Linked DNA regions of Kluyveromyces lactis. The protein of the gene in region 5 interacts with the protein of the main gene of each other region in a pairwise test. Links are inferred from orthologs where the notes say so. Each region holds a gene or a part of one and is shown on either strand. Other genes may lie near its edges.

Region 1 (3,462 bases), on a different chromosome or scaffold from region 5:
AAGAACAAAACTGGAGGATTATTTAGGTTAATGGTGAGACTTTTACATGCCTTGTCGAAAAAAGAGCTTGCACAGAAATATGATCTTATACCGTTAGCTAATGCAGCTGGGATCTTGTATCAAATACGAGATGACTATTTAAATCTATTCTCCAAGACAATGTTTGAACAGAAGGGATTCGCTGATGATCTAACCGAGGGGAAATTTTCCTTCCCAATAATTCATGCCATAGCTAGTTCAAGGAATGAAGGTGATAACGATGATTATGTCCTTAAAACAGTTTTATCAAGGCCTTCAGAGATTCGTACTAAAGAGAAATTGCTCAGTTATTTGGAGCACCAGACAAAGTCTGGTGAATATACCAGACAGGTTATCCAAACTCTTGCACAAAAAGTTACTACTGAATTGGTTCCAAAGGAGCTTTCTTCAGTTAAAGATATATTGTCGAAACTCTCCCAGTTAGACTAATTCTATTATATTGATTACGACCATCTTATATATTAATTCATTAGCTTCCTCATCATTATTTATTTTTATTAGCTAAATCACGATATATATCAAATATACTTTGCATATCACTAACCTTCAAGTCCTCGAATTTATAATCCTTGTACCTTCTCCAATCGGTAGCAGGACCCTCGGTAACCTCGATGCTTGGTAGCGGTACCTGTATCTGTGCTACATGCGGTGGTGGTGGTGGCGGTGGCGGGGTATAAGTTTTGATGCGACCCATCAAGTTTCTAAAACCAGAATCAATAACATTACCAACAGATATTAAATCAGAAAGAGAGTTAGACCTTTTGAAATCCGGTATAAATGACTCCTCTGTCGCTAGAGGAAGTTTCACTTGTTCACTGATAGACTCCAAATGCGGAAGTTTTAATTCATCAGTGTGTTGGCAATATGTTATTATATCCTTAGTTGTCAACGAGTCAATGAAAGATATCGCGGCTTCAAAATTCGTAGTGACATATAATTCTTTCTCTTTCAACCTTCGATGGAATCTGAAAAGCTTGATGAACTGGAGGTTCAAAAACAATTCTTTTCGAGGATTTGTTATCAAGAGATATATCATCGAAGGAAGTATCTCATCAGCGTTATTTTGATCAAGAGCCAATAGCTTATCATGCAATACTATTAGGCAATGTACCTTGTCGCAAGGGGATACATTCTCATGTAACATCTTATCAAATAATAACCCTACCATATCAAGTCTTTCTTTATGTTTCAACTCTAACGCTAAAAATGCTGGTAAATCAAGTATTCGCGAACTGCTTAACTCTTTCATCGTGTTCAATTTAGTATTCAACATCTTATCAAACTCAATAAACTCCGGATTATTACGAAATAGGCTTGTCATTTTCCATTCATTCGAACTAGTCGATTTCGCCTGTCTTGTTGGATGATTTGGGACACAAGTGCCAACTTGCAGTATTTTCTTGAATATTTCGCATTCACACAAATCCATAATCTGGTCCGTTTTGATATTATTAGCCTCTTGCAGCTTAATTTGATGGGATATTTCTTCTGGAGTCAACAATTGCTGATAATTCTGTTCAGAATTAGTTCTAGTTCTTGTTCTTATGCTGCTATTTCGAAAACTACTACTTCTGGATCTGTTGAAGATACTACTCAATCCACTATTTCTCGTTTCTCTCGCGTTGAGCATAACATTCACACTTCCAGGCGAGGCTAATGCATTAAAATGTTGTTGGCAAGATCTATCAAATCTCTCATAAAACCTTTGGAATATCTGAGATAATTGTGTAATCATTAAAGGCCTGGAATATTTAGGCTGTTTCAAATCATCAATGAACAAATCAATCAATTTCATCAATTCATCAGGTATACTAGCAATGGGAATCAAATCATCATTGGATTCTGAAGATTCTATTGGTAGTTCTGGTGATGGAGGTGCCGATGTGCTGGCAGTTTGAAGCATGACATTCGGTTTCTTTGCATCGCTATTATTGGAAATCGTCGAATTCAAACTATCGCGATAAGATTCAGTGATGGATTGTTTAGTATCGAAAGAAGCATTAGAAAATGGGGGAGTATGGAACATAGCTCAATTGCCATACATGAGCAGGTCCAAAGATGATTCACAAGCTTGCAGTGATAGAAATCATAAACTTTTTCTTATAACGTTGTTGAAGTAAACCAAGTTGCTGTGAACTAAATGTTTCAGTATGAAAAAGACATTCGAAACCCTTAATTATGAAGAAGATCAAATACATATCTCTTAGAAGAAACAAAAGAAAAAAAGCATATTAAAGGCAATATTGAAGGCTCGATCAAGAGATATCTAACAAGAAAAAGATAACCAGTACCTGTAGTATCAGCTTCATCTACGAAACTTTCTTAACGGGTGAATTTACAAACATTTCTAATGATCTTCATTTTAAGCTTCCAGAAAGTTCTCGGTTGGCCATAAGATAAATTAGGACAAACGAAACAACACCTACAAAAGTAGCAGCGAACAGATCATCTGCTTAGAATAGTTCACTGCGAATGAGCAAGGTATTAGCTATACAATGTCATCAGGCTTCAAGATGAAGAGGTCAAGGAGTCCTGACCCGATAGGAATCGATAACTATAAGAAACAACGGCTAATATATGATTTCGAAAACCTATCGTTGGCTCCTAGGGGAACCGATGGGATAAAGAAACATAAAATTGATTCAGGGTTGAACTCATTCAAAGCAGTTGTAAATAAAAGGATGTGGGATGTAGTTGAACGCGAATTGAGTGGTTCAAACAAAAATGATAAGATATATGAAAGAATATTCGATCATGTACGACAGTTTAACTCGCAGGTAATAAAATGGTATGACTGGCGATCTGTGGTAGCAAGCTTGTGGGTAAAATGGTACCAACAGCATAGTCCAAAATTAGATGAAGTAGATATGAATGTTGAGACTGCAGCAGATTCCAGAGTTGATCTGGCACCGAATCTCATGCATAGAAATGATGAGTTTGATCACAATGCGGACATGGACATTGACATGGATCTCGATACAGATCCGTACGCGGATGCAGACATGGACATAGAGCTGGATGAATAGTCCTTAGACATGTTTGTGAAGTATTATTATCATTTTGATAGAAGTATTAACACCTATAGAGAGAGTATGTAAACAACTGATTTTTACTTGTTGAACTGAATTAATGTGAAAGAATATAAGAGTGTTAATGTCAAAATTATGTTGAAGTATTACAATGCGATGTACAGTACATCATTATGATAAGCATGAAAGCCATCAGTGGATAGAAATTGAATTTTGACCACCTTGGGGTTCTTTTTGTATTATTTATTATGACGATAAAATTTTGCAACAAATAACTTAGCTGTCATCGACAAAGATCTTGCGTTTCTCTTGAATTAGAACCGGTACTTCTGCATCAGTAGTGACTTGAGTGCCAATATCATCTCCGTTTTTGATGTACAACTTAAAAGAATCT
Region 2 (3,495 bases), on a different chromosome or scaffold from region 5:
CTTTGCAATACCCTGCTTCAACTTCTTAATGAAACCCGTATTCCTCTTAATACTAGAATCAAGTTTCTTGGCTTTATCAGGGAATACGTCAATCCCGGTCCACGCCATACTGTTAATTTCATTCAAGCTTGATCTCCATTCATTCTAAACACAAATTCAATCCATAAAAGCAAGGCTTTCTGTTAGTATTCTCGAAAACTCTCGACCACTTAAAAGCGTACACATACGTTCATTATGTTATTTGACGATTGGATAGGTTCAAAGTCGGTGCGTAAAGTTCTTGCTGTCGCTGTGACGTGATTTCAACAGAACTTTTGTTCGATGACTTTGGTAGAATTAACATTTCACAGGATTTTTTTTTTATTCAAAGGGCTTTCTCATACTGGCATCTCGACAATAAGTTACAGAGCGAAACGGATAGAGTTTTGGTTGCATTTATATTATCGTGCTTGTGATAGAAGAGTGTTTATATGGTTCAATAGAATATACACCTAATTGAGTGTTAAATAATAATTTTAAAAGCCTTCATCACCTAGCTTACTTTCTAAATGCACTATGTTCTGATCAATTTCTGAAAGATTAGTTTTCAAGGATATCGCTTCCTCGAAGCGCCTTTCCTTGGCAGCTGAATTAAGCATATTTTCGACTAAGTATCGTTGTTCATTCAAAACCATAAGTTCTTCTCTGTACTTCTTTACTTCCGCAATTGTTAAATTATTGAACAAAAGATCCGATGATGTTGTGACTTCTACTTTCTGTGACACAGGGTTCAAGATTTCTGGTATTTTTTTCAAGGGTAGCATTTTCTCCTCGATGAACGCTGATGCATGTAGGGCAATTGACTGTTGTATTTTCTTCTCTGCTGTTGATTTTGTATCCAACTGAACAATGCTTTTTGATAATTTGTCATAAAGCGTTAAATTTTGTAATAGCTTTCTTCTTAATTGTGCTAGGTTTTGAATCGCAGTCTCATCTGAAGCGGGTGCATTATGTATCGAATCTAATGCTTTCTGGAATCTGGGGAGTAAATTTACTACAAGCGTTTCGAGGTTGTGGAGATTTTCGTACTGTTGTAAAATTTCCGGTAGTTTCAATGCCTTACTAAATTGGAGCTTACGCTTTGCAAAGACATACCTCAGACAGGAGGAACAAATTCTAACTCCTGTAGAAAGGTCTGATATTGCTTTTAAGTTCCCGACATTCTCGAAGGAAAGGTCTGGGGCCGCACTCATCAGGTTCAGGACTGGAATATCGCTGGAACATCGAGTTTCTTGTCTATCGCACACGATCTGACCGCATAATCTACAATGATGTTTCCGCATCAAGAGTCCAAACGGCTGAGAGCATATGCCGCATTGGGTTGCCATTTGATCATCCTTCCACTCTACGATTGATCGTTCCAAAGCTATAATTCCTGCTCTGATCCTGAACGTTGCAAAGACCGATGACTGATGTCGTACATGTAATTGAATTATCCCATTTATTAGTCTCAATAGCCTGTTTTCTAGCTGCAAAGTGATAAGTTCTCCATCCTCGTTCTTCAACTTTCTTATCTTAGCGAAAGCTTGTGTTATATTTCTAGTCAGTCCGTAGTCATTGTAACCTTTCCTATTGATATAACACTTGTGACAACATTTACACCATACATTGCTCGCCGGATCGTATTCACCGTTTTCATTCAACTTGATGGCATTTCTACAATGCCTTAAACAGAAAAGTTCGCCGCATTTGCGGCAATTGATCATACCGTTTCTGGCGTTTAACTTACAACCGCACTCAAAACATACCGATTTGCCTTCTACTGGTTTCTTCCAGTGAGATGTATTCATCTTTAATTTCCCCTTACTCTGTCTTTCATGAGTCCTTTCTTGAACCAATGTGTTCAAACCAATGACACTTGACTCTCTTGAGCTATCGACATCGGACGCACTTTCATCGTTAAAACCGTGTACATTGTCCAAGTGGACGTTGAGCTTTCTCAAACTCTTCAACTCATTTCCGCAAACTGGGCAAGTTACGGCCTCGACATTTCTATCATGTTGTCCAGTCGAACTCGCCGAGCCCAACCACCTTCCATTTCCTTCTGTCATTGGGCTTTATAAATAGATATACTACCTCACCATCATAAATCCCATGGAAAGGAACTAGCTTGAATAATCCAACTGTGAGACTTAGTTCCTTCCTCCCCTTAGGAATAAAAGCTTCGAATCGTTAACTTTCGTTTCATGCTTTTCAAATGCAATTAAAGAGAACATTAAGCTTGACGATCTAACAAAACCTTTGCGTAATGGTATGAGACACGTTACATTAGTCTATACAACACTTATTACTACTCCGAACGGATCAACGTGTTTAAGCCAATTGATCCTTGATGATATGTTCATTCTGCTGTTTTGTCTATTAACGTTTTGGTTGGTTTTCGATAGATCATATCATGTACTATGGTTTAAAATCCAGAAGTTATTTGATATTCTACCATCTTCTACATTAACGAACAATGAGTCAGATCCTGCTACTGTGATATCTTTGCCAGATTCAAACAGTAGCTTCTTTCACAAGTTCTATTCCGAGTATTCGTTGTCTTCTAGAAAGGTTTACAATGCAGTACGAGTCATATTTTGTGCTACATTTTCTGCTTACGTTGTAGCAGTTGAAATTGTATTATGGCAGATAAAAGTAGCAGACCCCAATGCCGAGGCTAACTTGGTGACGTCAATTATATGGCCAGGCTTGTTAGCTTTATTGTTCATCTCATTGATTTTGATACAACCTTTCCTGATACTGGTGTTCTTGTTGACGAAATTCTTCGAAGACAAGGTCAGCATGCACAAATTAGTGCCGGTAACCATTGGCATTACTATTCTATGGCTAACTTTCTTGCATTTCCTTACCATTGGACCGTTTGGCTACACATATAATCTATTGACTAAGGCATCAGTGATCGGTGTGACTGTAATGGGAATTTTGTCCGGATTGGCATCAGTCTCCACACCGTATTATGCCTATCAATATTTTAGACATCGGAACAAAAGAGATACAAAATACACTATACATAACAATGTTGATCTGTTGTGGTCTAGTGAGTCTGTGATACGGGATCGAATCAGGAATTATGAAGAATGTATTGAGAAAGATACCTCGTTGTTGTGTAGGCTCACTTCTTCCTCAAACCAAGCTGACATCATGACCACAGTACAACTGAGAGAACGAATTGCATGGTATCAACTTGAACTGGTGAAATTAAGCGGTATCTTGCAGGGTCCAAAAGAGCTTAGGAGTTTAAAGCGGATGTTTCAGGTGATTTTTTTGGTTTACTGTGTTTATAAATTGACTGACGTGTGGCTTGTAAAAGTGCCTAAAATTATAGTACACTCATTTAAGTTTCCAACAGATTTTAGTTATGAATTCTTCGACAATAAAAGTACTGAAAAGGACCCCTTAGCTGTCACATTCGCCAATATGTTTGACTTCTTGGTTCTAAGATTAGAACATCAA
Region 3 (3,811 bases), on a different chromosome or scaffold from region 5:
ATTACTGGAGATAAGAAGCCGCCTCTGAGCTTTAATTTAATGTTTTTTCCTCGCTTTCGAGAATGACAATTAAATCAAAGAGCAGTTAAGAAGCCGAACACTATTCTTTTGTTAACTTTATGTATGAGAAGTTAGGTTAATATCATGTATAATCTTAATTAAGGTTTTGCTATTTTTGATTTCCAGGAACTGAAAACAAGTATGAATTTTTCCTGCATCTGCCTTCTATGGATAACTTAAATAACGTTTCGTTTTAAGATTCCCAGGTAGTGGGTTGAATAAAGGTATGTTTATATCAAAGAGTGCAATTCGCAGTAAGAAATACAGCTGGATCCAAAATATGCTTATGTGACGCAAATCTTATCTAGAAGATGTCACTTTTTTCTTTTGTGGATAGATAATTCCATATAATACAAGGTTAGACACATCGGGTTATTTCAATCAATCTGTCAAAGAAGGAATACTGATGCTATTGGAATTGAAAGCATTGTCGCTTGAAAACTTGAAGAAGCTTGACGCTATGTCATATTTCCATCTCGCCTGCAAATTCAACTGGCTCTGAGTCCATCATTTGAATATCTTCTTCATCATCTGCGATAGCACTTTCATCGTAGCTATTAATTGTTTTATTGGTATTTTTTAGATCTGGTTCGTCATTTTCAAAATCAAGGTCGAAGAAATCGTCATCACTTCCTACTATTTTTTCATAAAGGAACTTTGCTGCAGTAATAACTTCATCATATGACACTTCTCCTGATGGCAACGAAGTATAAAGAATTCCATTATCTGATGCGCCAGGAATAAATTCTTTAGATTTATTCAAATCAAATAAGTCTGGAGTAACAATATCAAATGGAGGAGTGGATGTGTATTGAGTATAGTACAATTTCATGATGAAGTTTACCCGTTCTTTTGAAATGAGTTCTTTGAACGACTGTCCCAGTTTTACACTGTTGACTAGTGGAACGCCATTTGAATTGATTTGTACAAGTTCATCCTCATTGGGTATATCCGAGGACTCCCTTAAAATACTATTGATCATTGCTTCAAGTGCAGCATCAAGGTCCAAATCACCTCGAGGACCGGCTTGAGTGGTTGAGAAGTACCAAACGCAAGTACCTGGTTCGCAAACTTCGGCTCCTGAGCCTAAAATCACCACCTGTACGGCTTCAACGTTTCCTGTCTTCAATGAATCAGGTGGGAACACGACCATAGCAGCACTTTCTCCTTCACTGAACCACTGTGAGCAGTCTTTTTCCACAACACAAGTGAGCCTATGCACTTCGTACTTCTGGGGAGGAATGTTACCGCCATTCTGGGGATGTTGGGTAGGGGATGCGACAACCTTTTCTGTGACTCTTACTCTTGAACCGTCTTCAAAAACCGCAGTCTGGGAGTTCGGATCGTATGATACCAATTTATGATTGAGTTTATAAGTGGCACCAGCCACTGCTGCTGATCTGCAGAATCCTTGAGATAGTTCTCCCGGCCCACCATACTTTGAATATAGGACTGGGAAAGGTCCGTAAACGTCAAAACTAGTTAAAAATCTTCTGATCCTTGCTAAACCTTCTGGTGTCTTAGTATCCAGATTACGACACATACCAATTGAAAATATTAATTCAAAAACTTGAGGTTTTTCTAGCTTGAATTTATCGACTAGGAAACTAGCAAGTGGCTGTTCAGCGTATGGTTTCCAAATGTCCGTGCTTTTTTCCCATTCTAGCACAAATTTAATGAAACGCATTAAATTGCGTTTCGTCATCAATGGAAGAGTTTGGTCAGTAAATATTTCTTGTTTCGAGTTCGTTAACCTTTCAAAGTTATCATTCTCAAAGGTATGGAAGTTGGATAACGATTGGAACTCCAAATACTGATGTACTCTTGATTTAATTAGAACTGAGAGTAGATCGGATTGTGCAAATAGAATCTTGGGACTTAAATCAATACCAAAATTCTTGGATTTGAATTTCCCCTGAGCTACCAACCCGGAGACATAGAGTCTGGCATCTTTGTAAAACCGTGTTTCGTCTGAGTCTTCATTCACTTGATTTGTCCAATTCTTCAACTGATCAATTGTCATTGTAGCCCATGTGTCCCCATAATAGTTATTGGAATCTATATGCAAAACGGTGGATCCCTGCCATGCTAAAGAAGCAGATAGAATACTTTCAATCAACCCGGTACCAGCAATGAGTACATCCACTTGTTCCGGTGTAGTTTCCGGTAAAGGATCCTCGATACCAGCCAAATGTGGCACAACGAGGGAAGTTGATTGTAAGGAGCCGTCAGGACCGGGAGAAAAGAAGGAAGGACGACGTTCCGCCATAGAAGGGCGGCGCTCGGCATTCAGCATTTTAATTTTTTTCCGCTTGTAGTGTTTAACCGAGACTTTAGATTAAATATAGCTTATTCTATAACCAGTTCTTATGTCTCTTTAAGGGAAAAGCGAGAGAACAAAAAGTCAGATATGAACGACCTTAGAAATTCCAAAAATAGCCTGATACGGTTCAGAGGTTGGAATTTTACTAGTAATGAGATTATTCACAGGTTCCTGTAATGTTATTAGGAATTCTGTAAAGCCTAATTTTGAGCGGTTTGCAAGAACCAAAAAAAAATTCTCAACCGCCAATATCGCTCAAAGAATGACAAAAACAGCACTCTTTCGATCTGCTTCTTATTCCAGGTTCTAGCTTTAGAAAGGTTGGTGCTTTTCGATAATAACAGTTTATTTGTACCACGTACCTGTGGTATTCTGAGGTGGAAACTTTAATGGATATGTATCTTAGTTACGCCTTTAAAAACTGTATTTAATTCGCACAGATAATGAGTATGTGTTTTCAATTTTTTTTTTTTTTTTTTTTTTATCTTCACGGCTGGCAACGAGAAATTTTTTTTTAAACTCGTGAATCATTTCCCGTTATTATCGACAGAACAATACCGGAAACAATAGCAATCAGAGCCCCAGCTTGAAATGAAATATCGCTTTAAAATGATGTGGAAACTAAACGTGTCAGGGTATTTTTATTCAGGGATCGTTTAAACTTGCTGTGCTTTCAGACAAAACTTTACTATGGTAAAATTACAGCGACAGTGCGACATATTTCATTTTTAGTGCTGGCATGTGCACGTGATAATAATACTGTCGCGTCATATTATCTTATTGTATACAAATTTGAGTTAATCACCTTTTTCAATTGTGAAACTCAGATTCGGAACCAGAATCTAGAATCAGGACAGATATAATGTTTCTAATGCATGGATTTACTGGTAATTGATAACGGATTGCCCAACTCTATACTAAAGCACAGCTCAGTGGTGTTATTAAATGCTTATATAAGTAGACGAAATATTGAATAAACAGGGTAGTAATCGGGAACTACTGAACCATTAAACATTTAGGGTTCGTTGTTGTTCACCTATGACAGATGGCTACCGTAGAACCACTTTTAGAAGCTTTCGTTACAAGCACTTTAGAATAATCGTCTAAACATGTAGACTTTATAGAATCTTGTGGTAATACCACCAAACTCTTATTATTAAGTTCGATGTCATTGAAGACATCAACACTCGCAACTGCGGAATCAGTTTCGTTAGTCGATATAGTTGTAATATCCAATTTTATCAGAATGGAGGATCTGAGAATCTCTTGCAGTTCTCCAAGAGCAACCAGATGCTCTGAAACGGTAACAATTTTGATAGTCTTGGCATGTAATCCCATCACTAATCCCAAGAACAAGGCCATATAGTCAGAACCAGTTAAAGTTGAATTTAGTAGATATACAAGAACTGATGTGGGTTGTTGATGAAC
Region 4 (3,228 bases), on a different chromosome or scaffold from region 5:
TTAAGTTCAAAAATTGGTCGACTGATTTTAGAGTACCTGTTAGTTCAATACCGTTCTTTAGTTCGACTTTGACTTCATGATCAACCAGGGTCTTGAAAAATGAAAATAATAGCATGGTTCTGGACAGTACGGCCTTGGTTCAGAGGTCCATGCATTTGACTTTTGAATGTGTTGTAGTTGTATTGTCAAATTTCAACATGAAATTGTTTTAAACAATTTCATGTTGAAGGAAAAAAAAAAGATACATGTACAAAATTGACATACACAACTTCATATGTAGAAGTAGAGAAGCTGCTGGACTTAAGAGGACTAGCTGGGATATTTTTACGTCGATTGCTGAAATAAAACTATTGCCAAAACATTCAAGCTAATATGTGGGGCTAGATAGTAAATAGACAAAAATAAAATGATAATGATAAAGATTGTAACGAAACAAGAAAGTAACGTAAAAGTACGTAGAAGTACGTGAAGGTACGATATTTTCAAAAGTTAGCATCACGGTTATCTCGTAGTTCTCACTTACTCCTCTGCAACATCTTCTCTCTTCTTTAAAACAAGGGGGTGACCAGTAATCCTAAAGTAGATATCCTTGACATCGTCGGTCATGGATTCGAAGTGAGATGAGGAATCGTAAGATTTAGAGATGTAAATGTTGTCTTTAGTGCCATCTTCGATCGGTTCAAAGATTTCTGAAATACCCATGAACCTCTCCTCAATTGGGCCCAACATTTTGAAAGCCGGCTCTAATTCGATATGAGGTTTATCAGTTTCAATGATGGTTGATACACTGGCGAGGTAATGACCCTTCGAAGTAACTTTATGGGCGTCAGAGACAGTAGCAATATAAATGTCGTTCTTTCTTCCAACTTGTGATTGTGGTATAATTATTTGGCAAGAATCAGCATTACTAGTGTTAGGAACAGGTTGTTTAGTGATGCAAATTGCTCTGATCACCTTTTCACCTGTAGTTTTACATTTCTCAGGGAAGTATGTTGGATCTGCGATGACTATTGGTGCTTTTGCAGTACCTTCTTTGGTGACAATACCTTCGAATTTACCATCGTCTGAGTATAAAACCTTTTCAATTGGGGTATTTAGCATGTATGTCCCACCGTAAATAGCTGATAATCTAGCAAATCCTTGAGGCAATTCGCCCAACCCATACATAGGGTAAATATATGGAGATTTACCAAACCTGGAAATCGATTGCACATATAGGATAATTCTTTCCACTGATGGTCTAGCAGGTTGTTGCAGATAATCGTCATTGGTCCAAAGGGCCATTGCGTGTCCAATAAATTCTCTGGTTGAATTTCCTAAGCCAAATTTGTAGTATACCTCATCCATAGTGTTTTGATCCAAGTTTAAGCCCTGATGTGTGGCGATATCTTCTTCATTGTATGCACTGATCCATTCCAAGAACTTCTTCATCCTTCTTTTCTCGAAGATACCCAATAAAGAAGATGAAATAGCCTCCATTTCGTTAGCAGGAACTTTATATACTTTACCTCTGTTGTAAACGTACGAGCCAGCAACTTGCTTGAACTCGATATATCTGGTGACGTCAGTATGAACCAAAATGTTAGTCAATTCACCATTCGCCATCAAGAACTTAGGAATCAAATCCACGTTCCAATCTCTATCCTTGCCAAACTTTGACTCAATGTCTTCCTTACTCAAAGGATGTTGTTTGAATTTAGAGTATAGTTGCGTTAATGTGACACTGGATGATTCACCACCATAATGGTCCTGTCTGTCAACATGTAAGACTTTTTTCCCCTCGATTGAGAGTAAGCCAGATAATATACACTCGGTAAGACCTGTCCCAAGGACGATAACATCATAATTTTCGTCCATTATTACAAGCTTTTGTCAATTCGACGTTCTATGAACTAGGTCCAACGTTTCCTATCTAGTTGAAGGTAGCCCTACGTTTGAAGTCGTTATTGTTTTCTTGCTAAATACTATGATCCTCCCTATTATTGTTATTTTTATTGTAACAATCGCACTTTCTTTATTTTCAACACTAATTCAAGGTTAAAAGACAAACGTTCTAGACGCATATAACTGCATTCAGTTCAGGCATTGATCTCGAGCGTTAACAAACTAGTTGGACAATTTCAGATGCTCATAAATTGCTGAAGATCCAGGAATGTTCAGCACCTCGAAAGGTAGTATGTCAGTTCAACCAATATCGTAAAATAGTGACTGAAGTTTTCTTCACGTGACCCAGATCTGTGAACGGAGGTTTCAATATTAATTATAACAAAGACGATCCTGGGTTGGCAGAGAAAAACTCGGATCCCTTCACTGCAAAGTTTATACACAAAACCATATTCCCTCATTTGTCCCAAACTTCGTTTCACGATGGACAGGCCATGGATACTATTCATAGCTGAACCTGAATACAGTTTACAGGAATATAAGCTTTTGCAAAAAGAGTTCAACACGGTTAATTACACACTTGAACGAGATGTTGATGGCACTGGTAAGGAAGCATTTCTAACTTTCTTGGACCAGCATTCGAAGCAAAAGGGTCCAATTGTCGGAATATTTGGAGGGTATCCACAATTCGCTCCCTTAGGTGGTTTGAGTGCAGAAATCTTGGATGATCATCGTTGGCCTGGGTCGATCAAGTGCATATGTCTGTGTTCTGTAGGTTACAATTGGCTCGACCTGAAGTCACTACGGGAAAAGGGCATTCAACTGTACAATTATGACGACATGATACAGGACTCTGGAATTGTAGCCAACGACGTTGCAGATTGCGTCCTCTGGCACGTTCTAGATGGGTTTCGGAAATTCTCAAGTCAGGCACATGCATTGAGATCAGCAAGAAACACTATCAAGGCTCGTTCAGAAATCGTACTGGAACACGGTGAAAACAATTCACCAAGGTTCGAATTTGGGCACAGATGGAAACGAGGAACCTTTAATGAAAGTTGTCGGAACAAGAGATGTCTCATTATGGGACTTGGACGTATTGGAATCCAGTGTGGTAGGAAATTGGATTCCGGATTAGGAATGGAAATACATTACACGCAGAGAAATCCGGTTACAAAAGAACAAATAAGCTCGGACACTTATATCCAGAAGTGGCAATTCCATCCAATCTCTGAGCTACTTGAGTCTGATTTTCAGGATGCGCATGGAAGCAGTCCATGCCTTGAAACGTTTGATTGCATTGTAATATGTCTACCAGGAAATGCATCAACACATCACATGATC
Region 5 (2,315 bases):
GATGCTCGGACAGTGATTCCCACCTAAGTATTCTGGGTCGCCAGAACTCTTCTAACGCAAATTCCTTGTAACGAAAAAACGAGCTAGCAGTACGCTCCAATAATAGCACATCATTCTCCTCATCTTGGCCATCCATGACAATTTAAAACCCAGGTTGAATCCTTTAGAGTTTCATCACGCATGTATCATCATTCATACATCTCATTACCTGAATAGAGTTCTCTATGATTGAATTCATGAATAATCGATCAATACGGGGATCCGAAAAATTCACTACGCCAATATATATAGAAATAAAATGTAGGTACAAAAAATGTAAATCTAACTGATTTATGTATTACTGGTTATCTTAAACTTCTACTATGATGATATTGGAATATTATAGGCACGGTAGATATCTTGTTCTATTGGCTCCTTTCCTCTGGTTAAAATTAATTTCATCGATTGTTAATATGAATCATTTCGTTAGGCCATTTCCCCTAAAAAGAGGATAGGGTCGTGAGTATTAACAACCACATGAGTTGGGATTCGAGGTATCATCGGGTTTGTTCAAGTCGATCCTTCCATCTTCTGTTCCACGTAACCCATCGGTATTGGACCCATCCGACTTCTTTAAGGGTATTTTCTCTCCAATGGCCAAGAACACTTCGTTGACGTTATCACCAGTCTTAGCGCTAGTCTCGAAGAATAAAAGGTTCTCTTCCTGTGACAATTTTTCAGCCTCTTCTTTGGCTACTTTCCTATCCTCTTCAGATTCCAACAAATCCATCTTATTTCCAACCAATGCGATTACAATCCCTTTGCTCGCTTGTTCGTGTAATTCTTTTACCCAGTGGCGAGCCTTGATAAATGACTGCGGCTTTGTTACATCATAAACCACTAAAGCTGCTTGAGCATTTCTATAATACATTGGGGCCAACGATGCAAATCTTTCCTGACCAGCAGTATCCCAGATTTCAAACTTTATTGTGTGGTCAGCCATATTTACTCGCTGTGTTAGAAAGGCTGCTCCAATAGTGGGTTCTTTATTCTCAGCAAAATCATTGGACACAAAGCGCAAAACAATGGAAGATTTCCCCACCGCAGCTTCTCCTAGGAGTACCAACTTGATAGACGTAACGTTTGAATTCATTTCCTAGTACCTTACAACTGAAAATGACCTTAATATCAATGACGACCAGGTAAATCAAGATTTCTTCTTCGAAAGTTGGTTAATATGATGACTGTATGCTCGAGAGATTGTTTAGAAGAAAATGTGTCTGTCTACAATCTCAAAAACTAATTCGTACACTCTTGTTACCGATAGAGCAATCTGCTACTCCGGTTGTAAACGTTACGTTTCAATAAAAGTAGGGAGCATCGTTCATCCTTTTTTTAGTTTTATTTAGTTTTAGTATCTTTTCCCATAACGAAAACAAGGCTTTTGAATGTTGATAGTAGGTCACGTGCTTGGTGAACCTTCCTTCGAATCAGTGTGTTTATATAAGTGTCAAAAACGGTTATTTAACTAAATAACAACACTTTTATGCTAAGACTGCGGGTTCAGAGTTTAGATTCTTCTGGTTTGGTGGCTTTGTGGTTGAGTTCTAATTTACCATCAATGCCCTCAGTTTCTTCACCGAAAAAGACAACGGTGACAGTCAAGTCGTCTCTGTAACGTCTACTCTTCGTTGGAGGTATACTGACCAATGTAGAAACGTATTCTTTGTTACCGCCTCCACTGAGAGCGTTTCTGATTAGATGAGTTGCTACGTTTTCGTCTTGCATGAGATATTCGCTCTTAGAGTCAGGTTTTTTGGAGCTTTGGTACCTAAAAGCAGGCCTTTGTGCTTCTTTGTCTGGGGAGATGTCTTCTAGCTTTGGTAATTTACCTTGTGGAGATTGTTCCTTCAACATTTTGAAATTCTTTTTGATAGGATGTGATTCCATCCATTTCACAACGAGACCTGCGATTTCGTCATTACTCAACAACTCGAAAAGACCATCAGATCCTAAAACCATGAATTTAGTTTTAGGGTCCACGTTTGTTGTGGTTATTTCCGGCTTTGCTGTTACGTAAGGAGGTGTCAAGAAATCTTTAGGTTCCCTCCTGAAATATATCTTCAAATGGTCAGGTAGATCATAAACGGTTTTCCCATTTATCTCTTTCACTTTGTACCTGTAGTCACCAAAAGCCCTTGAAGGTTGGAGAGATCCTAGTATTCTACCCTGACGTACACAGTTTGGTTCATCAGGGTGCTCCTTCTGGATTCTCTCGACCTCTTGTACATTATCACCAGTCTGATCGGTACTTAAGGATTTTACAGTCCAAGCAC

Evidence for each region.
Region 1: the proteins of VPS21 (region 5) and MUK1 interact in a two-hybrid assay, tested with the Saccharomyces cerevisiae proteins (2 studies listed by BioGRID, with this or other methods). The link is inferred for Kluyveromyces lactis from reciprocal best matches to the Saccharomyces cerevisiae genes VPS21 and MUK1.
Region 2: the proteins of VPS21 (region 5) and PEP7 interact in a two-hybrid assay, tested with the Saccharomyces cerevisiae proteins (4 studies listed by BioGRID). The link is inferred for Kluyveromyces lactis from reciprocal best matches to the Saccharomyces cerevisiae genes VPS21 and PEP7.
Region 3: the proteins of VPS21 (region 5) and MRS6 interact in binary tests that used the Saccharomyces cerevisiae proteins (3 or more experiments, as listed by UniProt). The link is inferred for Kluyveromyces lactis from reciprocal best matches to the Saccharomyces cerevisiae genes VPS21 and MRS6.
Region 4: the proteins of VPS21 (region 5) and GDI1 interact in binary tests that used the Saccharomyces cerevisiae proteins (3 or more experiments, as listed by UniProt). The link is inferred for Kluyveromyces lactis from reciprocal best matches to the Saccharomyces cerevisiae genes VPS21 and GDI1.

The regions. Positions count from the first base shown.
Region 1 is NC_006041.1:2,073,698-2,077,159, forward strand, and holds MUK1 (guanine nucleotide exchange factor MUK1), read right to left. Parts: upstream 2,066-3,462; coding exon 524-2,065; downstream 1-523. Other genes in the region: BTS1 (farnesyltranstransferase), read left to right, coding at 1-468; KLLA0_E23343g (uncharacterized protein), read left to right, coding at 2,535-3,065; phosphatidylinositol-3-phosphate-binding protein BEM1, read right to left, coding at 3,345-3,462. UniProt on the Saccharomyces cerevisiae protein: Putative GTPase-activating protein.
Region 2 is NC_006040.1:1,128,040-1,131,534, forward strand, and holds PEP7 (phosphatidylinositol-3-phosphate binding protein), read right to left. Parts: upstream 2,091-3,495; coding exon 516-2,090; downstream 1-515. Other genes in the region: NMD2 (Nmd2p), read right to left, coding at 1-144, 228-233; KLLA0_D13200g (uncharacterized protein), read left to right, coding at 2,293-3,495. UniProt on the Saccharomyces cerevisiae protein: Required for vacuole segregation and vacuole protein sorting. Possibly part of a complex which tethers the vacuole membrane to microtubules, either directly or via kinesin or dynein-like motor proteins.
Region 3 is NC_006040.1:533,117-536,927, forward strand, and holds MRS6 (GTPase-activating protein MRS6), read right to left. Parts: upstream 2,357-3,811; coding exon 524-2,356; downstream 1-523. Other genes in the region: KLLA0_D06215g (uncharacterized protein), read left to right, coding at 1-28; KHA1 (Kha1p), read right to left, coding at 3,416-3,811. UniProt on the Saccharomyces cerevisiae protein: Substrate-binding subunit (component A) of the Rab geranylgeranyltransferase (GGTase) complex. Binds unprenylated Rab proteins and presents the substrate peptide to the catalytic component B.
Region 4 is NC_006042.1:852,943-856,170, reverse strand, and holds GDI1 (Gdi1p), read right to left. Parts: upstream 1,858-3,228; coding exon 520-1,857; downstream 1-519. Other genes in the region: Sm-like protein LSM2, read right to left, coding at 1-115; KLLA0_F09163g (putative hydroxyacid dehydrogenase), read left to right, coding at 2,368-3,228. UniProt on the Saccharomyces cerevisiae protein: Regulates the GDP/GTP exchange reaction of SEC4 by inhibiting the dissociation of GDP from it, and the subsequent binding of GTP to SEC4. Plays an essential role in the yeast secretory pathway.
Region 5 is NC_006039.1:1,172,146-1,174,460, reverse strand, and holds VPS21 (Rab family GTPase VPS21), read right to left. Parts: upstream 1,133-2,315; coding exon 506-1,132; downstream 1-505. Other genes in the region: KLLA0_C13750g (S-adenosylmethionine-dependent methyltransferase), read right to left, coding at 1-136; type 2C protein phosphatase PTC5, read right to left, coding at 1,543-2,315.